2 linked regions of the Daphnia pulex genome follow. The protein of the gene in region 1 purifies or fractionates together with the protein of each later gene. This does not show direct contact. Links are inferred from orthologs where the notes say so. Each region holds a gene or a part of one and is shown on either strand. Other genes may lie near its edges.

Region 1 (12,814 bases):
ATTGTGCAACGCTTACGGAGAAGCCGGCCTTTTGCCCGGAGAATGGGACGATGGTGTCCAAGACGACGATGACGAAAGCCTTCCGAGCTCTTTTTACAGCGACGAAAGTGGGTGCCATGATGATAGGAGAGCCAGTTCTGGGGACAGTTCGTGTTTGACGGAACTGGACAGAGATATCGGGCCATCGGCGGGTTCCGGTAGTGATTCTGACACGCCCGTTCATCGAAAACGGTCCCCAACGGGAAGAAAGATTCTCTGTTTACAAACGCAACATCTGCAAGAGAATCATCAATACTGGGTGACCCAGATAAAGGTGATTTTTCTTTTCAATGTTGGTTTTGTCTTTTTTATTTTATCAACCAACTCTCTCTTTGTAGGAGAGTGAACTCCGGCCATCTGCTGATGCCACGGGTGTATCGTGTTCCGGCGGAGGGCGATCCGGCGAAGATTTCGGTGACAATAATAGTTCAGGAGATTCCAGTCCAATAAGCCTCAGCGAAGACCGAATGGAACCCATCGCGGAGGAAAATAGTCCAAAATCATTTGAACGCAGTTTTAGCTTTGTAAGTTTGTGTTTTTTAGTTTGTTAATTACAGTATTTAAATGTTACAATAACAGCCTCTATATCATTTTCCTTTTTATAGGAGAAGGAAGACTCGAAACTTTAAATACCGTCGACCTGTGTGTGTGCCATCCCTTCTCTTTGGCTTGATACGGTGTGTTTCATTCATCATGACCCAATGGCGTGTCTTTTATTTGACACATCGCTAGACCACCATCCCTACTTGTCTGCGTGTATGTTCTGTTTGGTTCCCCTTACCTGTGATAACTCGCACCGACAATGACCCTTTTACGCTTATTGAGTGGCCGACCGGTAATGTAATGGAGCGTATCGCTTGGTGGTTAACGCCGTTTGCTTGCCTCACTGCAGCATTGCAGATGAGAGTGGGAATGGTCGTCAAGTTTTTGCGCAGGTTCCAAAATTCGTAACTGGCCAATTCTGCAAGTTTCTTTTTCCCTCCCTGACACGATTTCATTATCTTCGTACTGCTGTCATCAGTCGTCGTGCACGGACTGAGAAAAAGGAAGTCAATTACTTTTGTACACTTCCGTCAATACTTCATGATCAAATGGCGGAAAGACAAAATGGCCGAAACTACAGCGACGAGAGTTATATCCGCTCTTTCAATAGATTGGCCCAATAGATCATATCACATCATTATACGGCCTCAGTGAGTGCATTTTTTCGGAGTTCTGGGTTCTGCTAAGTAAACTCTATTGTTCATTCAGTACCCTTTTAACCGATTGCTTTCATTCCAATAGCATTATTTGACGGGCTTTGTAGGTAATTTTTGTAGAAGCCTTCTCTTTACAAATTTAAAGCTAGCATTTACAATTTGTACAGAATGACTTTGACGCTTACGGGATGGGCAATCGACATGGTTCATCAAAGATGATTGATCAGTAAAAGAGTTATTTATGACGAGTTTGAATTTGGGCCGTGCCGGTGATTGTATGCAATCAGGAATGATTTGTCTGTTGACGAATTCGCGTCATCTTGACATCATTTCGGTTTCTTTCACACATATTCTAAATGATATTTTAAAAAATTCATTCTTGTGTATATCATAACGAAAAAGTGACGTACTTGTAAATATTTGAGGGTTTGTCCTTTTCCCCTCGTGCTATATATTTTGCCGCCGTTCCGTGGTCTCCAGAATCCCTCTCCGTTCGTCCCACATGTTGCATGCTATTATTCTCTAAATAATTTTTCATTACAATATGTGTGAATTTATACAACCGTTAGTGTCGACCTAGCAAACCGTACAAACAATTCCATATCCACATTACAGAGACGAGATGTAAGAGCAGCTGCACAATGATAGGGCCGACGACTGACCATATTTTATGTATAAATTTGAATGATATACCAAATACATTTGCCGTTTACCCGTGTTGCAGCTTGGTAATTAGTTACGTCATGCTCATTAACCCCCCCCAAAAAAAAGCGGACGCTGACACACAAGTCTTCAAAGAAAACGAAATCACAATTTACTTTCATTTTATTATCAACATTTTCCGAGTAGTTAGTACCTCTGAGAGGAATTTCTGAGAAGGAAACAACATGGAGCGCCACAATTTTCTGTTTCCAGAATGGCACACGTAATCTGATTTAAACATTAAAACTATAGCTGTATAGATACTCCGACCTAACGTTTTTACAGCACACAATTTGAAAATGTAAAATGAAAGAATCCTGGGTTTAAAGCACGGTAGAATGTGACAACGGTTAAACTGGGTGTCACCTCTGTTGGTCCGACAAAAGCTGGCTTAAATTCGCCTGTAAAATTTTAGAGAAAATGTAAGAGCTTGCTTAGATCATTTCATATAAAAAAAGGAACAATAACCTCAAGTTTAGCGTTTCATCCGTGGAACTCCTATGGCCTTCTAAGGCTAGTTCTTCGCATTGTGGTTCGAAAATCGTACACTCCACACTCCTGTCTAAAAAAACGAAAGATTAAGAAAGGCCATCATTCAATTAAACAGCTTAGCAAGATCGAAAAACAACGTACAGAAACTTTTGGGTAAATCAACTAAATCCGCGCATAGTGGGCGTTGTTTTGGAAAAATAGAAGCAGTTGAAGGCAAGCCCAGAATTATGCGCCGAATCTCATAAAGGTGACCTATTAGAAGTACGTAATTAATCCCTTACATGACTTTTAATATTTATTTCTTATAACTTACGAGTATTCCATTCATAAGTAGATAAAACCAATTCATTAATACCCGAGTCTATTTTTATTGAGGAAATAGATATGTCCATTTGTCGGGCGATCGATCGAGCCCTTTCAGTAATTTCAGACGATGGGAGTTGGAACTTTAAATACAATGGTGTCACGCCCTAGAAAATCCAGTGATTCACCTAATGAGCGTTGAATATAATTTAAAAAAAATCTTCTTACGGTTATCATTTCACTGGCGAAATACGTGGCTTCCAGTGATCCTCTAACCAGGACTAAACTGCCGTTGACGGGGCAGCAGATTCGTGCTCCTGATTTTTTCTCTATCAATGGAATGCAATTTCTGACTAGACTAATATGTAAACACGAAGAATTTATTTCCATTTCGACCGATTCCTAAACACAATTTTATGATTAATAGTGAAATAAATAAATTACATGACCGAATACCGAAGGAGTTTGGACGAGATGACAAAAATGGGACACTGCTTCCTTCAGAAATTCAAATCGATAGTGGTGCCCTCGGATATTCACCTGATAGCATGCATCTTCTTCAACCAGATTAAAGACTAGTTTGACTCCAAATGTAGAAGAAAAGTGGGCTACAAGAAGGTTTATTCCGAGAGATTGGACTTTATCCGATCGACAGCTGACGACAAACACGACTGGCACACATTCCTTTCAATAGAAACGACACGTTATGAATAACTCTGGTGAATGAATGGAAATATAAAATAAATATTGCTTGAACCCGTATAGATAGACGAGCGGATTCAACAGCAGCCAGAGATCCTGAAATAGTTATTTTGGGAATACGAGTGGTGATGTTGAGATTCGTGTCGCTAGTAGGACAGAAAATGTTTGTGTCAGTTTGTTTCATCAATTTCGACAAAACACTTTCGTAGCGACCGTTTAAAATTCTTTTGTTTTCCAAATGATGGCTCAATTCCATCGTCAAATGGAGCTCCATATCCTAAGTACCAGAAATTACATTGACTTGTTGAAACGATTGAAAATTCCACACGAAACAAAACAGTCTCACAATAACGTAGACTCAATACATAAAACAAAAATAATTTCACTGTTTCAGTCACTTTTCCACTTACTTTACAATGGTTACGTTCGCGTTTCATTTGGGTATCCAATTATCGTATTCACTTCTAGCAACTGCAACACAAAAACTTCAACTCGTGTTCTCTCTTTCTTTGAACACCTATTCACCACGTCAGGTCAAAGAATAAGAACCTTGTCATCTGGCACTTTCAAGGTCGGTAAAACAGCAGCCGAAACAAAATTTGCCGCGCGAAACTTTATTGAAAGTCACCGCCATCTTTGGCACAAATTTGTCTTTTTGGAAAAAATTGCTCGACAATGTAGAAAATTAGAAATGTAGAACATGTGAACTGTTAATCAAGAGAAAAATATGATAATTTTACAAAATTGGTAGATGATAAATGCACTTTTTATATGCGTATTACATTATGCTACACTGTCTAAGAAACACATTAAAATTTGTACTTCTTTCTTTTCTTTTTCGTCTGAAATTGCTTGAACTTGTTTGTTGCAACGTGTGAGCTGTTGAGTGGCCTGGTGCGAATTTCGGATGATTTATCAGAATCTCAGTAAACTTGGGTCACAGATGTGCATGTCCACTACTTTTAACAGAAAGTATAATTCATTTTGTACCTAAATTTGCTTTTAAATTAATGTTAGTTGCTATTCCCTCACTGTAATTTAAGTTCTAAAACAAATTCCACTAAGACAGTTTTTTTCCATTGAATCAAAAATTGAACAAGCATGACAGAAATGTAAATTGCTCAATTTTTTTGTTGTGTTCCTCTTTAAAAATATATTGTGAATACCATGAGATAATTGTATTAATCAACAGCAACGAAAAGTTAAAACATCTGAAAACAAGGCAGCAATAGTTATAGACTACTTTTGAAAATCTTAAGGGAATGGCACAGGATCTTTAAGATTTCTTGGGCCTTGAAATTTGGCTGAATTAAAATTTAGGTAGTTAACGAGTAAAATGTAACAGATCGTGGTTTAAAATGCACTTAACATTTTTTTTTTTTGGTTTAAGACTGGGGTATATCGGTGACACCTTTTGGAGCCCACCCTCCTGGATAATATCCAGCTGCTGCTGCTGCCAGGTGACGAGCTGCATCCAGTGTAATCTTCAGATCACTTGCTGAGCCTAGTAGTGGATTTACTTCTACTATATCAACTGCAGAAAGCCGACCGGTGCGATGCACACTTCTTAATAGTTCGGTTCCTTCTCTCAACGTCAATCCTCCTCGAACTATTTGAAAAAAGGGGTAAGTTTCCAACTTTCCGTTTTTTTTTGTTCTTGTTCTACTACCTGGAGTTCCAGTTGATGGTGCTTCAAGGGGATCGAGGGCGTCAATATCGAAACTAACGTGTATGTGTCTAGTATTGCGAGGATCAATTCGACTTAGTGCGTACTTGACAGCTTCTTTGATACCTATCCCGTGAACTTCTTCCATCGATAGAGCACACATTCCCAATTTCTCAATTATTAACCTAAAGAAAAAAGAAGGTTTTCAAGAGTAAATAATGTGAAAGTCAAGTTTAGATATTTTCTCATACCTCTCATAAGGTTCTACATCACGAAGACCAATAAAAGCAATGTTTCTGGCTGAAATCCTATTTAAGACAGGGTTTAATATTGAATCTACTTGAATCTAATTTAAGTAAATCAAGTATTATTTACATAGGGCTATGCCATTCGAAACCGGGTATCTCTGGTTGGTATTCCGTTAGCTCCTTTATATGAAACGACAATGGCATACCGTGTGCATTTCCACTATTGCTTGTGACCGGAGTGTTTATATCAGCGTGAGCGTCGACCCAGAGAAGTGATGTCTCTGGTTGAGCTTTCAGGTGACCATGAACAGTACCTACACCAATTGAATGGTCTCCTCCCAAAGTTAGGCACATACGACCATCTTTTATTATCTGGCTGACTTTTTGTGAAAGCTGTGAAAATAATTATTTAGAAAAGGGATTTGACAGATAATTTGAAACACATAATTATCTATTCAAGGATCTTACTTTCTCATTGAAGGCTATTACATCTTTCATGTTTCGAACATTCTTTACAGTCCCTTCCTCTCGAGTGGGTTGATAGTCAATATCACCAAAATCATGAACATCACAACCTGTTGAAGTATGGCTATAATACTAGTCTGTGCAATCAGGAAACACAGCAAGGAAATTTCAAGTCACCAATTGACTCCAAATGCTTAATTAGTCCAGACTGGCGCAAAGAACTTGGTCCTAGGGCAGCTCCTTCTTTACGCTAAAATAAACAAAATTGTCAAAGTTGATATCAATATCGATACAATATGGCAGTTACTTGTCCTTTGTCGAATGGTGCTCCAATAACTCCAATTTTCGAGTAGTTTCGAGAGGAGAAAATGGAAAACCATTGCTGGACGTGAACGAATGGTCCCCTCTTCAACATTTTTTGTCAGTTAATAATGAATCAACGTTTGATCAGACATTTGCGCAACAGTGGCCTTGATATTTGAGACTTAGCCCGAGTTGTTTTTTAATTGTGCCCAGCAAGTTGCCTAGCAACAGCGTCATAAAATGTCGTCTGCTCGATCTTTTTTTGTTCTCGATCTGTGTGTTGGTGTTGACCGAGTCGGTTGATCGTCGGAAAAACAACCGCAAGAATCTCCTGGATTGTTATTCTTAAAATATATAACTGAAAAGTAAATTTGATCTCAACGTGATAGGGTGTTTAGTTTCTGTATAATCGCCATTTTTCTTCAATCCTGGAAAATTTAATAGTCAAACATTTTCAAGTAAGTTTTCTCGTTGTTTTACCAATTTTGTCATCCATTCGTTGCAGATAAAGAGTTGTTTTTTTTAAATTTAATTGAACCAATTAAATGGCTTTTTTGTTGTATGTCAGGCAGAATCGCACTACTAGAATCGTACATGAACGAATCTTTTGGATCGATCGAGATGTTTCTTTTTTTATTGGGGGGGGGGGTCCTGTAGCAATTCTTTTTATGTTCGTTAGATGGCAGAAGGGCGTCTGCGTTATGAGAAATTTGGGAAAAGAATAAAATGCTGGAGGTTAAATATGCTGAGTTTATTACAGCTTTTCAACCTACTTTGATCGATTTACTTATTATAACGTTCATTTTACCTGCGGCTGTTGAATCATCTATCCAGTTTTTTTTTTGTTTCGTTATTTCGGAAGCTACCAAGATGAACAAAGAAAACTTTGAACGGTATCGAAGCCCAAAGCATTTGAATGTGTTATTAGACTGAACTGTATTTCTCAAGGTTTCACCGGGAAGGATGAGTTTTAGAAATTGCGGAGGAAGCGGAGGTCATGGAAGTTGGAAAGACCTCCATTTCCTAAGCGAACTTGGGCAGAATTACTGGTGTCTGTGGTTCAGCAATTGGAAGAAGTCGAGAAAGAAGAGTGAGAACGAATGAGAAAAAGAAAGGTTGTAGGTGATGCGGTTTTGGTGGGGTCATAGATTGCGGCCGCTCGGAGGTGATTAAGAAAATTGGTTGAGGTCCTTGTTCATATACCTTTAGGAAACAATCACCATCACCCCGCGGTCAAAAGCCTCTAGAAATATTCGTCGGTTCTTTTCATTTCTTTTGTTTGCTGCCTTAGATAATTAAGAATTCCTATAAAATTGCCCAGATTAATTGTGCTGGTAGATGTCGTAGCTGTGAGCCGATTTTTCTCTCTTCTTTCCCATGACCAGAATAGAGAATTACCCGCAGTACAGAATGACATCTACAATTTCTTCCCGGTTTTCAACGAAGGTTTTGGTTTTTTGATCAATTACAAGTCATTTATTGCCTTCGGCAAAGAAGTTTTCTACTACCCGAGGGAGATGCAAATAAAATGTTAAACGCCGATGAGGATGATTGAAGAGTGGTGGTATAGAGCCTACTGCCTACCTATGTAGTTGTGTTGGGAAATGTGTCGTTTTAGTTTTGAATTCAATGTTCTCCGAGGTGGAAAAAGTAGCGCACATCGCACATGACTATTGGTTTACCACTTCGACTTGTGGCTGTAGAAATTTTATACCTTTCGGAACCACAACGTTTTTCTCCGTTTGAATTTCGAAAAAAAATAAAGAACTATCCTTGGTTCCTCGCCTAATTATTTTCTGTTATAGCCTTTCCTTGTCTCTTTTTTGGCTTTGAAGGTTAGACAGACAGTGAAACCGGCAATCAAAATTGATGGTGGCGACACTATCTTGTTGCTAGTTAGACCTTGGTGGAACTTCTCTTGGTTTTTCATGTTTTAGTTTTCAAAAGTCTCTTCTTCCTAAGGTTTTCAGAGGTTAAAAAGTTTTCGTTTGGCAATCCGTCATCACGTCTCCCGTAATGGTGATACGATCATGCCATCAGAAACGGTATTCGAGATTACTATGCATTTTGTCTCTTAGGCCAGGTATTCACATTCACCTTTTAAACACTTCCAAAAGAAAATTTATTTTGGGTGCAACATATTTACTTGGAGTTTTAATGGTTTATAAAATCAATTTCCAGCTGAGAGCTTGAACAAAGAAAAGTAGTAGCAATTTGCGTTTTTGATTAAATAGATAAGAACAATGTAATAGCTATTTAACTTAATCATGTTCTCTCTTTTGGTTTTGTTATGCTAATGTCCCGTCTGTCCCCGTTTTCTCGTGTTACCCTGACCGACCAAAATAGATTTTCTTTCAATTGTTACTTTTCCCTTATAAGGTCAACCACAGAAAGTAAGCGTCAGTTTCTTGGTAAGGTGTGTGTGTGTGTACTCCACCCTCGTGTTTGGATGATATCATTCATCTGATACGGAAAAGAGAAACACCCGACAGGGGGGGGGGAGCGAAGGGCAGAGCCTATCTTGGACCTGTATCCGTCTGCAGTATTTCTTCAGCACCATGACGAATTTCTCTTTCCACCCAAGTTTGTCTTCCTTTTCATGTGTCCTCCATCTGTTGCTATTACTTAGGACAACGCTATCCGGCTATCCTATGGCGACGGTTCTTTAAATTAAGCTGAACGAATCCGCTAAAGTCGAGAGCGACAAAATAAAATGAAGTCAACATCGACAAAAAGTACCCAAAAAGACAAGAATCAACATTGACTCTAGCGATCGTGACTGGCCAACAAACGACGGCGATTGCGAGACACATTTTCATATGAATTCATGGATAAATGACGTCAGCCATTTTCTTGTCTAGTCGGGGGAAAACGAATTCTATCCGTGGAAAACTTTTTTTTTTCTACAACTACAACTAATGATGCAATGACGTTACAAATCGAGTGCACCTGGATATTCTAATGATCGATCGTTCGTTCTGTTTTCTTTTTGTTTTTATGTGATAAGGGCAAGAAATAATCGAAATGGTGGATCCAGCATCAGGATCACAGCAACAACAACAGCCTCCGACGCTTTCCATTACAGTGGTGCCGCTGAATGTGCTGGACGATCCACTTGAAAGCGTGCAAGAGCTTGACGGAGACGAAGACTTAACAGGTGGCGGTCGGTTACTTCATCCGTTGAGCGAGTCAGCTATCCTTGAAGCGTCTCAATCGTTCTATGAGGACATAGTCGATGACGTTATTTTAGGCATCGTGTTTGAAGTCCACCGCGGTGCTAAATTGGGACTCACCGCTCTCCTGGAGGACGGTGTGACCGGTAATGAATTTGTTAATTTTTTTTTTCTTTTTCTTTTTTTTTTTTTGAGAATGAAACGGAAATAATTAATTTTTGAGAAACGAGTCATCATCAAGCGTCATCATTTTTCATTGCCGGTGTAACTCAAGCGTAGATTGATAGATGCCTTTATTCACTTGTGTTGCGATAGACATTTCCTGTAATTTTTTTATTATTTATTTCACTTGATTCGTTGCCTTCAAAAGAGTTTTGAATATAGTTGGACTTCTTTAACCTGTTCCGCTATTCGGTTTATTCTTAGTCAAGAACCGAGTCGAATCTTCATTTCAACCGGTTTTTATTACTTTTAGACCATTACGTGTGGACTATAAAACACAGGTCGTAAAAGAAACGAATTCAATCAACTTGGATCGTTAAGTTTTTTTTTTGTGTTTTCCTTAGGAATTCTGGGCGTATCCTAATGATCGGCATCGTAACAATAAAAGCTTGAACTTTCCTTTTATTTTTTTTTTAAGGTGATACACAATGTGATTTCGACGGAGACGAAACGACCCGTTCATCTACCGGCGGCGGTGGTGAAGCAATGGATTTCGATGCAGCGTCAGAGATGTTATCATCGGCAGCGGTCAATAGCAAAAAACCGGCTGAATGCGTCTGTCCTAACTGCCAGCGCAACATGGCCGCATCCCGTTTTGCTCCACACTTGGAAAAGTGCATGGGCATGGGCCGGAACAGTTCACGATTGGCGTCGAGGCGTATTGCCACCTCTGCTAGTAGACAGGTCCGTTTCCCTCGTTCAACTTGGCTGATTATGATTCAACTATGCACCTCATACGGTATGCGCGTGATGATTCATTCATTAGGCTGATTTGGTAAGCGATGACGACTGTGACGACGACGACTGGACGGCGAGTGGAGCCAGTGAAAGGCAGGACCATCGAATCATGAGCGGCGAAGGTGGAGGAGGTGGTGGCAACAAGAATAAACGCCGCCATCACTTGCACAAAAAAGACAAAAACTCGCCGAGACGCAAGAAATGGAAGAATGGCAGCAATGGCGACAACAACCATAGCAACAGCAACAGCTCCAGTGGTCATCCGTCCATTGCGTCATCGGCGTCTGCAGTTCCGGGTAATTAAACCATACCGACGAATTATTAACGGCTTGTTTCATTGAGTCTTTAAGACTGGACTTAACGATCCTTGTCAACGAGAATGGCGTGAAAATGTTTTACACGTTGAAACTTTCACTTTTCAATTGCCATCAGCGGAATTAATGAATTTGTCTGGCCTTGCCATCCACTCGTGATCTTCACTTCGTTATCAACGATGACTAGGCGTTACCTGGAAAGTGAATTGAACCTTTTTCGATGCAGGAGCTGAAGATGGTTTGCATACTGGATCAACTGGAGGAGGTAATACAATGGAAACAATGGGGTTGACTGAGCGCCGGACCCTTTTGACCACCATGTGCGGCGTCATCTCGGTATGTATACTCATCCGTCTATTATAACCCAACACAAAAGTCCCTGCGTCGTGCAAATTTCAAGCTGCTTGGTTACTTATTTAACGCTCTTGTTCGTATAGGAACATACTGGCCGGATGTGTACACGTTCTCTTCGTTGTCCTCAGCACACGGACTCTCAACGAAAAAATGTCCGACAGGTCATATTGGAGCATCACACAGAAACGGAAAGTCACCTTCTGCCCACAATTGGTGGAGACAAGGACAAGGAGATGATTGACGTGGATACATGGGAGGAAGGAGACTCGCTTGCTTCACTCCTAACTGCTCAGGTTCGGTGGTTTTTCAATCAAATTTCGATGGCGCCACCGCAGAAAAGTGTGACTCAATTCATGTTTTATTTATCTTTATTTTGGTTTGAGCAGAGTCACGACGTCCCGACGCCCGGCGCCGAAGCTTCGCCTGCCGAATCCACCTCAACATCGGCCAGCTCCACTTCCTCATCGGCTAGACGCCGAACGGAGCAACAACCCAGCGTCACTAATAACAAAACCAATAGCAAGAAGAACAATGGCAAAAAGTTCAAAGGCGAGGCTTGATTGACGTCTTTATTTATAATTTTCCCTTTCCCCCCTCCCCCTCTTTTTTTGTTTGGTCTCTTTTTTGTTTCAGACTTAATTCATTCATTCCGATCGATTTCTTTTTTTCCGCCCACTCCTTCCTGTTCTCTTCACCGCAACCTTGACGTCTCTCCGCCACTCAAGCCCGCAATCAGAAGGTATAAATATCCAATGAATTGAGCTTGAAAAGGTGTACTTTTCACCTGGGGATATAAAACAAAAATACGAAAACAACATTGGAAGGCTCCAACTTGACGATCGGACGTATGATAAAGTGTATTATTATTGACATTCTTGCGGATTGAATTGTGTAATTGGCACATTTGAAGGAAACGAATTAAATCACTTGCTCCATCTTTCAGGAATCACTGTCGACTGCATTATAAGTACAAGTTCTATTCCATAGTCGATGAGCCAGCCGCGGCCATTCCGGTCGACTGGTGTCCAACTCGGAAACGATAAAAGGAAGTGGGTTTGAAGGTAGGTTCGTTTCCAGCCACTGGACGAGGTCATCTTGCTGGTGAGTATAGCGAAGATTAAGGTAGAAATGTCGCACGTTAACACTGGCAGCCAATATTCCCGTCACGAAAACATCGTCTACCCACAAAGCTGGAACTTTACTGGCTGAGCGAAACAGTTTACTGGCCAGCTGAGGACGCATCACGTAAGCAAGACCGGAACAGAAAGCGGGATAAGTATTTGAAGGATATTCTTCGCGACTGACGGCCCATTTTCCCGATCGTTGTACCAGAGCGTCTTCGTGGACGTTGCAGATCAACGTCTCGGACGGCGGACCACCCGGCCAAGTCCTGTCGATGAATTTTTGCAGCTGGAGAACGTCGATGAAAGCATCATCATCACTTTTGAGAACGAAACGCACTGACGGACAATACTGCCCAATCCATTTAAGGCCCATCAAGTTTTTATAAGTCAAATTCCGGTAATGATCGACAAAATCCCCCTGGACCAAATCACTATATTTAGCATTTTCAGATTCCAACAGGCTCTGGATGTCCATGGTGCCCTCCAGTCCAGTTTGGTCGGCTAGGCCGACGAGAAAGACGTGGCGGATGAGATCGTGCTGAGAGGCCCATGTTTGTCGGATGACCTGTCGCTGCCGGAAGTGATTGGCTTTGGAATGAACCAGCGCCAGGAAGAAAGGCTGCACGGTACTTTCAGCACATATTTGAGGATTATTGAGTCGATAATCAAACTGATGCACATTTAACAGTTGGCCCGTCTTCAGCAGTGCAGCCTTGGTAGATTCTTCCGGCGGGTTGGTCGTCCATCCTACGAAACAAAGGCCGATTGTG
Region 2 (12,589 bases), on another chromosome or scaffold:
TGCCGTCCGGCATCACTTTTTGTTCATACTCTTTTTCAATTCCTATAGCCAAGGGAAGTTTATTTTACAGTCAGCAATTAAATATTATTACTCCAAATTACCCAGTTGATTCTTGCAAATGTACATAAATTTTTCGGCAGATGTTAATTTGGTTGCGGCACATCGCTTGACATAAGGTTCCATTTTACCACCTAAATTTGTTAAGGAGAGCAAAAAAAAAAAAAGATGTCGTCGGGTTAGTCAAATCAATTAGCAAGTTTGACGTCACTTGAAAGCACCCCACCTTTAAATGGTTGAAAAGAGGCGTCGTCAATAAACTCGGTCTGTTCGACTAGCTGAAAATGATATTCGACGCCATCGTCGGCCTGTTTCGTTGTCTCACCCCAATAGAGGAAGTGATCATTGTTGATCACCCGACCGCTAAAGTCCGTCTGTCAAACAGATAAGCAGAACAAACAAATATGAGATTGCAGTCGTCATAACGATTGTGAGGTAGACTCCTTTGTGTCGGCTACTGTCAATTAAACAGTAAATAGTGATTGAACTATTTAAATTGTTATTGTACAGTATGTGTTTTGTTTCTGTTCAACTTTCTGTTCCGATCCCTATACAATTATACATGTGTGCAATTAGGGAACCAACAGTTATCTAAGACCTTCAGCTGTGTGATGAGACATACAAAGTAGGGCCGCAATTGCCTTTGGCTTGCAACCGGAAGTTGCCGCTAATGCCGTCACTTGCGGTCGGGAAGGGGAAAAAAAAGAGTAAAGAATCCTAGAAAACAAAAAAATGGAGAAAAAGTGTTGCATTGCGTACAGCAACGTGTGCCTGAAGGTCAGAAAATCGTTGAAGTACTACTCCCAGTCACCGCCCAGCCCCTCACAACAAAATGAACGACAAAAGAGAAGAGAGAGAAAGAGACATATAAGGAAAAATGGTGTGAACATCAATGGGAATGCCATTAGTTCCAGTTCCAGACCCAACCCGCGATAACGGAAACATGCCATCAATAACGATTTCTTTTCTTTTCACTTGGCTTTCTTATTCCTTAAGGGACTTAACGTTGGAAAATTGAATGTTCCAAACAACGTCGTAAAATCTATGGATTCTAATAAAAAAAAGGCTTTGCCGTCCCAGTCCATTTGGTATTGTTGACACACTGCCATTGGCAACCGACCAGGATGTTCTCCTTACTACACTAACCTGACTGAGGACGGAAATGTGCTCGACGTGGTAATCATCGGCCAACGATTTGATGAAGCGATTGCAGAGACACGATTTGCCTAAGCCAGACTGGCCGCGTTCCTTCTCTGTGCCGGCCAGGCCGACCACGGAGACATTAAGCGTCCGCAACTGTTCCGTTTTTCTAGCCATTTCTAAAAAATTTTTCTTTCTTCTTCTTCTTCTTCTTCGTACGTCCTCAGATTGGCGGTGTTGAAAAATTGGCTGCCCGGCTGAGGGTTTCTCACTTAATCACACTCTTCCGGAGATGGTGCAATCATCTTGATCGCTTTCCACCTTGCTGAGACCATCATATCCTCCAATTTGTCGAGAATGGCAGCATCACCCTGTAATCCAAAGTAAATGACATCACATTAAATGAGTGAAAATAAGCAATCACAAAATGAAAACGAAAAAAAGTAGTCCACAAACTGGATGGAGAAACACGTCACCCGCCCTTTTGGATAAGATCTGAGTTACCGCCACCAGGGTTCGTTCCAAACAAGGACGAGCTGCGTGTGTCCCCCAAAATTCAACGGCTTATAACCACAAGAGAGTCTCGAATCAATAGTCTGCGATCCCGAACGGTGTGCATGTGTATGTGGAAAAGAGGGGAGAGAGTTTGAGCTGAGTCAAAGAGACAACGTAAAAAAGAAAAAAAGACGAGAAATGCAAGAGGAGCAAATCAAACGATATCAGTTTTGTCGGCTTGTCATTCCCGGTAAGGAGATGCAAGGGGGGAAATCAAATTGGAAGAACTAACAAGAAAACTGCCCGTCGTTGAAACGGTGGCACGGCACGGAAGGAGTCATCCGATCGGAAATGGATATAAAAACGGATAGACTGAGTCTTTGTCTCTCGGCATCATCCAAGATTGGCTTGGCAGCTGGCCATTGGAAAGAGGCGGATCTTGACGACTAGCACACTGGTGTGCAATCGATCTCATCAGCGTTGCGATTATCGAAGCTTCTTTACAGCCCACTCGGTCGGGAAGAAAAAGTACAGGATCGCATCGATAATCAATTCTTTAGGGAACTAGGAATATCGTCGTATGGCTTTGTTATCGTGTGCCAGTCAGAGTCAGAATCGCCTCCAAGTTCGTTGTCAATGAAATGGCTTTGTAGCGGATGAATGCCAATTCTGGCAACTACTTCAGTCCTCTTTCGACATCATTATCACTCCAGTGTCGATGATACTTTCCACTGTTAACGTGTTGTTTGTTGATGTTGTTCGCTTTTTTAGAGGGGTCGCGACCTACTAGGTGGATCAGATTAAGGCAATACACGCGAGGTACGCATCGAGTCCCGGTGCCCCAAGTGTCGCCGGATCGTAACCCAAACGACGGCCTGTGATGCAAGGACTTGCCGGTAACAACAAAGAGAGTCCACGTGCCCAAAAAGGGCTAGAGGGGCCTGGTATGAAATGATCTTGGGTTTCCGTGTTGACTTGGATTTCAGAGCTCTCTTTTAGCTTCATGATGCGGGCTCAGTCAACTAACGATGATGCATGTAAAAGGAAGCAGTTGAAATAGGGGGGTGAAGATATGCCTACCAGAGAGAAAGAGAAGGGAGCGGTCGTCCTGGAGACCAGCTCTGCTGGCGTGACCTCCCGCCTGCCTAACTGAATGACACAGCCAAGGGATTCCAGTAGATTTTGAATGCGATCGATTCCTTTCCCCCACTGCACCCCAAGCGCCAATCCGAGAACCTCGGACTGTAAGAACGACTGGAGATGCTCTCGTTTGTGTGGCGTCTACGAGAGGCCGAAGCACAACAATAATAACAACCATCAACACAGAGAGGGGAGAAAAACACGGGACAATGTCTGTTTTCATAGGAGGAACAGTTTCTTTAGAGCCCTATCGTGTGACTCCTCCTCGAATCTGGAAGAGATGGATTCATCGGGTGGAAGAGAAAGGCGACGGAGATCAGGGATGGGAATGGATCAAGAAAGTATGTGTGTTTGGACGCTGCGCACAAGTCCAAGTGCCGTCGTCGGATTCAACCCCCACTCCTCCTTCCCTTCCTCTTTTTCCTCCCTCCTGACGTGATCAATACCTGAGCTACAGATTCCCCCATGCCCTATTTCAACCCCGCCAACGCATGTACAGCTGTGCAACCCCCCACCCATTTGCAATCGTCGCAAAAAGAAACAATTCACTTCCAAATGAACTCACTATCAAATTTTACCACCTGATATCTGCCTCTCATACGAATGCTACTGTTTGGATAAATTAGGGTCAGACTGCTGCATGTCACACAAGATTACTCAAGGTTTACTAGGCAGGATGGTATAAAAAAACCTGTGCTAATTATGAAACGAAGAGAGGAATTTTGAGAACATGCTTTGATTATGAAGGTGTCATGTTTCACCATCCAGAACTTTTATGATTGTGCAACACAGCGGTCTCCTTACCTTGAAATGAACGGATAGCTGCAGTACACACAAAGCAGTAGGAGCGAACTGGAAAATTGTGTCTAAAATGTCACTGAAAAATGGCTGTTTCAAGGAAACTCAGGATTCTTCAATAATTATTGAAAACGAAGGATGTCCCCACACGCACTCGACCCCCCTTTGGGTTCTTCAAAGCAAGTGACACAGATGGTGTAGCCCACACATATCACAATATGAAGAAAAACAAGGTTTCCACAGCTATTTGTAGAAAAAATAAATTGCACTTCACGAAGTTCGGTCTGGAATTCCTCTCTGATAGGCCGCAGATTCAAACTTTAATTTCAAACAGACAATAAACTGTCATGAAACGTAGATAATGTTAGTGTCACAAAAACTCGTTGCCTTTTCACTCGGTAGCCATATTGGAATAAACTGAAAACACCAGAGAAAAGAAGACTGGAGACCCGCAGACGAGGGAATTTTACAGCCCTGAAACTAGCGCTGTTTCAGACATAACGGCCACATAATAATATAGTGAAACACCAACTAAATTAAATAAATACATTGGCCTATGGAATTTGTAGTTAAATGAAATCGATAAAATATCATACAAATTTATATTAAGCATTCTGCATTCATTAAAGAAATACATGAAAATTTGAAAAATTTGAAAATCAAGTCTAAAACTTTGAGTTGCAATTTCCCTGATTTTATTATTTCGAAAACTGCGTTCAAATATTTTTAACAAGTAATTTAAAAAAATATATTAGACTTTGATTGTCTTTTCTCTTTCGACTTAAACGGTTTAAGTTATCCAAAGTTTTCATTAAACCATTCAAGGAGGCGCTGCTATCGTTTGACGAATACCCAGTCTCATTTTCTCTCTTACGTTGTAAATCGAAATATCGAATCGAAAGTTTGAAAGTTAGGTATCGATTCTAGTCCAAGCTTTTTTGACAAGTAAACAACGTAAATCGTACATTCGTACGTGAATTGTCTTGTCAAATTTAAAATTTGGGCCGAAAAATGGTTCCGGGTAAAGGTAATATCTCCAAAGGAAAAGGAGCTACAAATGTCAAAGGTTCAACGTCAGCCACTAAAGTCAAAAGGGAAAGAGTTTCAGAACCTGAGGACTCAGATGAAGAAGTTACTCTAGCTGATGTCCGAGCTGTCGACTATGGAAAGGTTTTACCTCGTTTCACATCCAGTAAGAACTAATTTTTTTTGTTTTTCTGTTGGTTTTCTAATTAACAAAGATATAAATATAATCAATTGTTTATAGTTACGGCTAGATCAGAAGAAGGGGGTGTTATGATGGATGATTTGGACACCTTACAAATGGAACTAGAAACACTACTCAATTGTGTTGTTTTGCGTTCCTTAAATTTACAGAGAGAAATTGCAGGAATGACTGAAAAGGTATTCATCAAAGTTTTTTTTTCATCTTGTGTCTATTTTCTGTTTGCCAACAACACTATGTGTTTTTTTTTAGCCTCCATCTCCTGGAAAACGATCAAAACAAGAAGAGCGTTCACCTAAAAAGTTCAAAGATCAACCAGGAAAGCTTAGAGATGCACACACACCTCCACTTTTAAAGCAGATGAAAATTAAATCTGCTCTAGCTGTACCTAGTTTCATGAAAAGTAGTTTTATTTACAGTCAAGTAATGATCTCTTTGATTTTATAGAAGCCTATCCCACCAGAAGGAGTTGTTGAGGAAATGCCTCCTTTAGAATTAATGAAGACATCAACTGCCAAAAATGATACACCAAACAAATTTTGGGCTTCTGTAGAACCATACTGTGCTCTTTTTACAGATGATGATTTAAAGGTAAAATGATTTGTATAAGATTAACATAACTTGGAATTAAATTTTTTTTCTTGTGGTAATTGATGTTTTAACTAAAGCTAGTAGAAGAACTAATCTCAACTCATAATGAGGATGAAGAATACCTCAAAATTCCTCCTCTCGGTCGCCACTATACACTTCGGTGGGCAGAAGATGATTTACTTCAGGAGCAAAGAGAGGGCTCTCGTTTCGGCGAGAAAAAGAAGATTACCTCTGGATCTTCTGTAGGAACGGAAGAGGCTCAAAGATTAATGGACACAGCAGCTAAAAACAAGTAAAAAATTAATATTTTTTTTTCTAATAGCCGCATATTGCTTAACGATAGATTTAATAACTCAGTGCTGAAACAAATACTACATCTGCGACGGGGATGTGCGGACCCATGACCCAGCGTCTCATTTCAGCTCTTTTAGAAGAAAATATTGTAACTTCTGTGCAGGACACAATGGAATCAGAAGGGCAAGGTATATTGTTCATTGTTTTCCTGTTTAAAACTAATGCCAACTAGCGGTTCGAAATTACTGTAACAGACGAAAACGCGAAATCTACTGGCACGAAGGCAGCAATGAATGGACCTCAAGCTGCTGCACTTGAACGTCGTATTCGTCAAGAGTTAGAAGAACAAGGCATTTTAACTTCCGAAGAAGCCAACGTTAATTCGGTAATTTATTCATTCAAAACACATTTCAGAGGTAGTATTATTAACCCCCTGATTAAGGCCGATGATGAAATATTGACGGAGTTACGTCGATGCCAAGGAGAATTGAGGGCCATATCACTGCACAACTTGAAACAACTGAAACGACTGTACCGCCTCAGTCAAGAAGAAATGAAACGTCAGGAAATACGGAAAAAATTGATTGCAGCGGACGCTGAGGTATTCATTTTTCAAGTGTCATCTCTGCTTATCGAGCTCGTCTACATTATTCCCAACTTCTTTTGAATAGGTATTAGACGTATATCGTAAAATGGCTGCCGCTAAACAAAAAAAACGCCCGTTAAGCAAAAAAGAAAAAGATCAGATGTGGAAAATACTTCGTGATCGTGAAGCGATTGTCAAACAGCTGGACACGGGAACGACTAGTATGTAAATATTTTTTCAAACAATACAAGACGTGTGTGATGAAGATGAACTAAGATGGTTAATTGAACTTTGCATAACAATATAAACTTTTAACAAGCCTTGTTTATTACTTAAATCAATTAGCATGTATTCAACAATGAAAAGTTGAGGTTACTTGAAGTTGATAAGAATTTAATAAGAATTCTTTCAACTTCTCCAAAACTGAGGATTCAATTCTAGTTTTCTAATAAAGTTAGTGTACCAGTTTCTTAAAACAGACATTGGGATGAAACTTTCTGATGGATTTGGTGTCATTTGTGATTGAGTAACAGCAAAACTTGCTGCATAATTGAAAAGATTTTGAAGAGTACGTTCAGCAAACTCCTGGAATGTTGTGGTGCTACTAGGCTCTGTAATGGCACTAGGAGATTGATTGGAAATGAGGCTAAGAGGCTCAATTGAAATCCCTATTTGAGCATGATGATGTATTTCCCCCTGGTGCACCCCAAACATACTAGGGCTATAACTTCCCGGATTCTTCTTCAAGCCAGTGATTTTGTAAATGCTTGACGGTTTGTTATTGGTGAGGTTACCTAGTAGTTGCCACACTGGTGGGGCTGATAGATCTGGCTCGGGCCACCTGAAGTACACTATTAAAAAAATTATTTTGTGGTATTTTAAAATCTATCTTCCGGAGTATGCAAAAATTTTTCCTTTAACATAGAATTGTACTCTAACCAACCTGATCCACCAAATCCCTCTGGGAATGGTGATGCGCCAGTCAAAAATACTACCAAATGGTTGATATTATCGGCATCAGGAATAGTAATAACAAATTGTGAGTCTGTAATTTGTTGAAAGTTGGTCTGGACCTGTAAAAATGTATTGACAATAGCAAATCAAGACACCTACTGTAGTTGTGGAAACGTATTTACACGCGAACACAAACACTGAAACTTACCAAACGCCCCGATACAATAAGACCAAACATTTCTCAAGAAAACCACAAATTCTGATCAGTCGAAGTAACAATTGAAAATTGAATGCAATTCTGTATGTTTCAGAAACGCGAATACAACGATTTATCCTTCATTCCAAATTCTAGATGTTTTCGAAAATTCGTCGTCTCACAGACATGTCTAGTGACATCTATGTACAAGAGATGCAAATAGGTGTTTGAAATAAAAAAAACTTGCCGCGCTAAAATCGTTTTAATGTGTTTAATGTGCGTGTTACATAAATAAATCAGTAAGTTTGTGTTAGCTATGAATAAATACTATATAAAATAAGTCACTGCTAATCTGAAAATTTATAAGTACGACGTTAGTGACGCGAATAGAAACGCAAATTGAAGCATTTAGTTCCTGATTTCATCGGAATGAAAAATAAGATCCGCATAACTCATTCGTCTATTCGATGGTTGATCATTAATTACGAATTTTTTTATTTTCAACAATTTAATTTTGAATTTTTTACTGTTACTTACGATCCCATTAATACATAATTAGCTCCAAATATGTCTTTCCGATATATATATTGACGTGATCTCTCGGTTAATATTCGAAATACTCATTGTAGACAACATTCTAAAATGCCCAGATAAAGTAAATAAAAATTCCCAACTCAATTGCTAGACCACGAGCTAAAATTCACGCAGCTAGCATGCATGACTAGAATAAATATCTATCAAGATTTCTCAGTGGGGGTGTTGCGTGTAAGCAAACAATCACTCCGCTACGTACACAAGTACCGGTAGGCTACGTACGATAGTATCGTACCAGCAGCTGTCAAGCCACAAATTATTCCGTTTCCTTACGTACACACATAATAAATGTTGATTTCACGTGAAATCCATTGGTTTTCACCAAACAAAAATCCTACGAATGATTTCTAGTCTGAGTATTTGTTTTTGGAATTTGCACAATCAAGTTAGGCAACTGCGCACAACATGTCGACACGGAAGACTTAATTTTTAATTTTCCATATGCACAACTAAATCCTCCCAATAGTGTAGTTTAATTCATATCAGTATAAAAACAAATGCAGCTGCTAGATCAACGTGAAATTTCGACAATTTAGTTGCTCATCTAAGTTGGTACAATTATGCTTAATATTTCGCTTGATATTCTTCCATTAAAACAAGAATTTCTAAAAATATTTTCTTTAGATATCAACACCAATAGACCAAGACTAAGAGAAATCACGAAGAATTTTTTTTTTTGCTTTTGCTTTTCCAACATTTTATAGGTTCGTGTCCTGTGTGAACCCATGCAACCGTGTAATAGGTCTGCTGTACTGTCTATATATATGTCTACAGTCTACACTCATATGTTTATTCAGTTTTACAGCGTTCACGGCGAAGGACGGACGTTTTTTCTATTCGCCTCAGTTCTAGTTAAGCAAACCAGTTTTGGAACAAATGCTTTTTGTTCGCCAGTATCAGCATCGCATTTATGAATCATTCAAACCAATAAGTTTGCATAGCGTTTGACAATACTTCACTACATCTGGAAACTAAAATACGTCATCAATCCTCGATGGACTTCCCTGCAGCATAATTAGAAAGAAAAAAAAAGTAGGAGGTAGGCCTTTGATTTTATCTATGTGCTTAACATACCTTCAGTTTCAGCATTTTGACTTTTTCTTTACTTGAACAATTCATATCTTATATAGTAATCTTTCTTCGCTTCGCTGGCTCCGCTGGAACTGGGTAGGGGCTACCTTACCAATCCATCACTTTTATCTCCATCACCCTCGACCAAATTTTTCAACTTTCTTTAGTCTGCGTTGGAATCACTTCAAAAATAGTAAGCGGTAAAACACCATGAATCATGAACTAAATATTGGCCTATGTATGCCTGTGCACGCGCTTCTTTCATTACTCTTTTATTTTTTGCTATAAACAAATAATTTTCCTTAGCTGATCGTGTGTCTGTTTAGCTATGCGCCCATGAAGTTTTCACATTTTTATTGATTTGCAGTAATACTAAATATAATTTGTAAATTACCCAAAATATTATGTACATTTAAACAAGTAGGGCGCACTGATATAAAATGGCAAAAGAAGTAGCAACACGGCAAACAGCTGCTGATAATTCTTATAAAAAGCTTTTGACTAGTTTCATGATTTTTGTCCCATTCTCGACTCCCCTCATGTAAAGGAGAACTGTACGACATTGTTACCTATGTTCTACATCTATGTAAAAAGCAAAGATTGGATGGAGTACAACCTGGTTTTTTTCCCTTCTCCCTTAACTGTCACCACTCCCTTTACCTCGACGATGGTTCATAAATCCAAGCTAGGTAGAAAGGTATAGGGCTGTGACATAATAAGTGACTCGACCAGTGGTTGCTGGCCAATGAAGGGGGGGGGGGGGCTCGTGGATTTCTCTCAACAGATGTTTCAACAATATGACTTTGGGTTCACTAGACAATAAATTTAAGGATAGCGTAACGTGTGGACAAAAGTGGCTGATACAACGGTTACTATCGGTGTAGCCTATCATTCTACCACAGAGAAAAAAAAATAACAATAGAAAAACCAACACAGCAGTCTCGCTTCAATATCATAACTATGGATTAATGTGTGGATAATTTTGCGCAAACATCTAGTCATAGTAATATGATTTAGTTTTTTGTCGCAAACCATTTTCAGGTTTAAAATGGTTGAAGAAATAAGACAAGTCTCTTTCAACATCGACGATAATGATTGTGGCAACAATGAGCTGTCCACCTTCCCAACTACCCGAAGCTCGCTTGACATTGATTACAAATCCGAAAGTGTTCCGGTTGCAGCAGGGCCCCACAGTTCAATTTCAAGAATAAACTCTAACTCCAATTTTATGCTGTCAAACAACTCCGAAGTTTCGGGACTGGAACTTGAAGAATGTCCAGCGATTTCGAAGGTAAATATCTGACAAGAACACCAATTAAACCTCATAATTATAATTCGTGTCGAATATTTGAAATATTTATCTATCGATATTTTTAAAATGTAGTCCTCATCCCCAGTCTGCGTGACGAAAGGACCGATATGGAACCGGACGGCCTGTGTGTGGTCCAGCTTTATTTTGTTCATACTCCTAGTCGGTGCTATTTCATTGGGGTAAGGAATACCAAAAAAAGATTTCTTTTTTAAATCCAGCATATCCGTTACAAAGCAGTTATTACATCTAACCTTAAGTAATTCTAAAATAAGGGAAATAAAAAAAAAGTTTTACCGATTTACTATGCTGTGATTCAAGGAAGCACATTTAAACGCGATTATACTCCCGTGAAAGATGATATAAAAAATTAAATTAAGTAAAAATGCTGTCAATTATGTAAAATAATATAATATATTTTATCGATGAAAGCTAAAAACACACACACACGCACATCAAGAATCTGCATCAGCTGTCATAGATAGATGACATAAATTTCAAATAACCGCAAACTGCCTAAATTCAGTGTTTATTTTTCAAAAGGAATAAGCCGTTTAATGGCACAGGATAGTAAATCTGGTCTTAATCCGCTTGGGCTTTAGTTCCGCTTCCTATTGCGCAGTAATGGTGCGGCATAGTTGAGACTGTTATACAGAGACGCGAGCGTTCCACTAAAATTTTCGTTGACAATTGAGAACCTGCATTCAAGAGTCAGGACCTCTTGGTTCAAACATATAAACATTCTGTCGCTCTTTGCCATAAATATTGTGAGAAATCCGAGATGAATATCCTTATTGACAATTTCCTCACGTTTTTTTTTGGTTTTTAATATCTGGCTCTGTAAATAAATGAAAGGGGCGAACAAGGAAAGCGTTGATAAAGCGCTCATCGGGATTCACATAACTGGAAGTTCAGCAGCTAGTACAGCAATAACATATGCATCGTTATCTTACCTATCTTGCCATGAATCACGTTGACTTGTGGGAGCCTTTTACAAATTGAAAGCGCAGCGGAGATCATTTCTTCCAGCCCCCAGACGACATTTTTGGGGATGTAGCTGTTATATAGAAGTGAGCGAGGCTGCGGGTGGGCGTATACATATAAGGCCTTTTCTCTCTCGAATGAGTACGTTTGTCACGTATATATGCTCGTAAATGATTCTTCTAACTTATACCTTTGGAATAAGAATAACCCTAAACCTGAATCAACAATATATAGCCTTTGAAAATAATTTATTGCTGCACTGACCGATGCAATACGTGCAGTTAATTCTAAGTTACCACGCGTTAAAGTCCGCAAAGAATTTTATAGTTTGAAAGAATTGACATTCAGTTCTATATGAAAACAAATAAATCACAAACTTGACACATCTCATTTGTACGGTGAATTGCGTACGTAGGCCTATTCAATTCGTGTGCTTCCGCATACTAATAAAAATCCTACACACTTTCTTCGTGCAATCCGTCTAGTCCTAATTCAGTTTGGAAGAAGAAAAACATGCGCAACGCCATAATTTGCTTTAGACCCAATTAGCTTTACAAATAAAAAATTTGTAAGGCGACAAAATAATTAAAGTGTAATTTATTTAACTAAAAATACATCTATAGTTTGATAGTTTGGAGCAGCCGTCAAGAAACCACGAGAGACTCTTCCCGTTCGAATTCTGAATCGCATTCGAATTCATTATCAAAGCAAGGTAATTTAGACTCCCATCATATCAATTTTTATACGAGACAGCGCACGATTTGCGTGGTTTATTGATGTTGTTAATTAATTTGAGCAGTTCAAATACGGAATCTGTATACTACAGTTTATTAGTTTACAACGAATTTTAAAAAATGCTTGTCATGAAGTTATGGACTTCACAGACTGAAATTATCTGTGTTTTTTTTATTTTGCACGTCAGCGCCGGAACTTTTCTGTCATAATCGATCAACGGTGGGTTATCCATCCGCATTGTTCACCTCTGGATACGACATCATGCGAGCAAATCCACTTGACAAGAATATTTATGGAAGACCTCTACTAGAGCACACTTTACTGCTTGAATGTCAAATAACACAGAATGCGGATCGCTGCCAGCCTAATGTAGAATCTGTTCTGATTGACAACCTTACTGCTTATCACCGGTGGACTCGC

What was found.
Region 2: the proteins of ataxin-7-like protein 3 (region 1) and transcriptional adapter 3-B-like purify together in Homo sapiens (affinity purification with mass spectrometry; 6 studies listed by BioGRID and IntAct, counting the BioPlex papers as one, with this or other methods). This does not show direct contact. The link is inferred for Daphnia pulex from reciprocal best matches to the Homo sapiens genes ATXN7L3 and TADA3.

Annotation. Positions count from the first base shown.
Region 1 is NC_060017.1:2,594,065-2,606,878, reverse strand, and holds ataxin-7-like protein 3, read left to right. Parts: upstream 1-5,046; 5' UTR 5,047-5,062; intron 5,063-5,106; coding exon of another isoform or gene 5,107-5,288; intron 5,289-5,354; coding exon of another isoform or gene 5,355-5,411; intron 5,412-5,478; coding exon of another isoform or gene 5,479-5,744; intron 5,745-5,819; coding exon of another isoform or gene 5,820-5,926; intron 5,927-5,993; coding exon of another isoform or gene 5,994-6,066; intron 6,067-6,123; coding exon of another isoform or gene 6,124-6,231; exon of another isoform or gene 6,232-6,262; intron 6,263-6,439; exon of another isoform or gene 6,440-6,577; intron 6,578-9,126; 5' UTR 9,127-9,143; coding exon 9,144-9,438; intron 9,439-9,932; coding exon 9,933-10,198; intron 10,199-10,280; coding exon 10,281-10,548; intron 10,549-10,792; coding exon 10,793-10,902; intron 10,903-11,003; coding exon 11,004-11,213; intron 11,214-11,306; coding exon 11,307-11,480; 3' UTR 11,481-11,859; downstream 11,860-12,814. Other genes in the region: cGMP-inhibited 3',5'-cyclic phosphodiesterase A-like, read left to right, coding at 1-313, 378-563, 645-668; uncharacterized protein LOC124200214, read right to left, coding at 2,332-2,341, 2,409-2,502, 2,574-2,684, 2,746-2,902, 2,964-3,137, 3,192-3,419, 3,493-3,714, 3,848-3,874; arginase, hepatic-like, read right to left, coding at 4,823-5,046, 5,107-5,288, 5,355-5,411, 5,479-5,744, 5,820-5,926, 5,994-6,066, 6,124-6,231; beta-1,3-galactosyltransferase 5-like, read right to left, coding at 11,860-12,814. UniProt on the Homo sapiens protein: Component of the transcription regulatory histone acetylation (HAT) complex SAGA, a multiprotein complex that activates transcription by remodeling chromatin and mediating histone acetylation and deubiquitination.
Region 2 is NC_060019.1:11,482,087-11,494,675, reverse strand, and holds transcriptional adapter 3-B-like, read left to right. Parts: upstream 1-4,489; 5' UTR 4,490-4,641; coding exon 4,642-4,822; intron 4,823-4,897; coding exon 4,898-5,034; intron 5,035-5,107; coding exon 5,108-5,239; intron 5,240-5,302; coding exon 5,303-5,446; intron 5,447-5,523; coding exon 5,524-5,738; intron 5,739-5,803; coding exon 5,804-5,928; intron 5,929-5,994; coding exon 5,995-6,125; intron 6,126-6,182; coding exon 6,183-6,341; intron 6,342-6,411; coding exon 6,412-6,555; 3' UTR 6,556-6,645; downstream 6,646-12,589. Other genes in the region: rho GTPase-activating protein 190-like, read right to left, coding at 1-42, 102-191, 284-431, 1,204-1,374; protein OPI10 homolog, read right to left, coding at 6,735-7,177, 7,270-7,399, 7,489-7,518; uncharacterized protein LOC124189823, read left to right, coding at 10,190-10,432, 10,526-10,632, 12,058-12,146, 12,357-12,589. UniProt on the Homo sapiens protein: Functions as a component of the PCAF complex. The PCAF complex is capable of efficiently acetylating histones in a nucleosomal context. The PCAF complex could be considered as the human version of the yeast SAGA complex.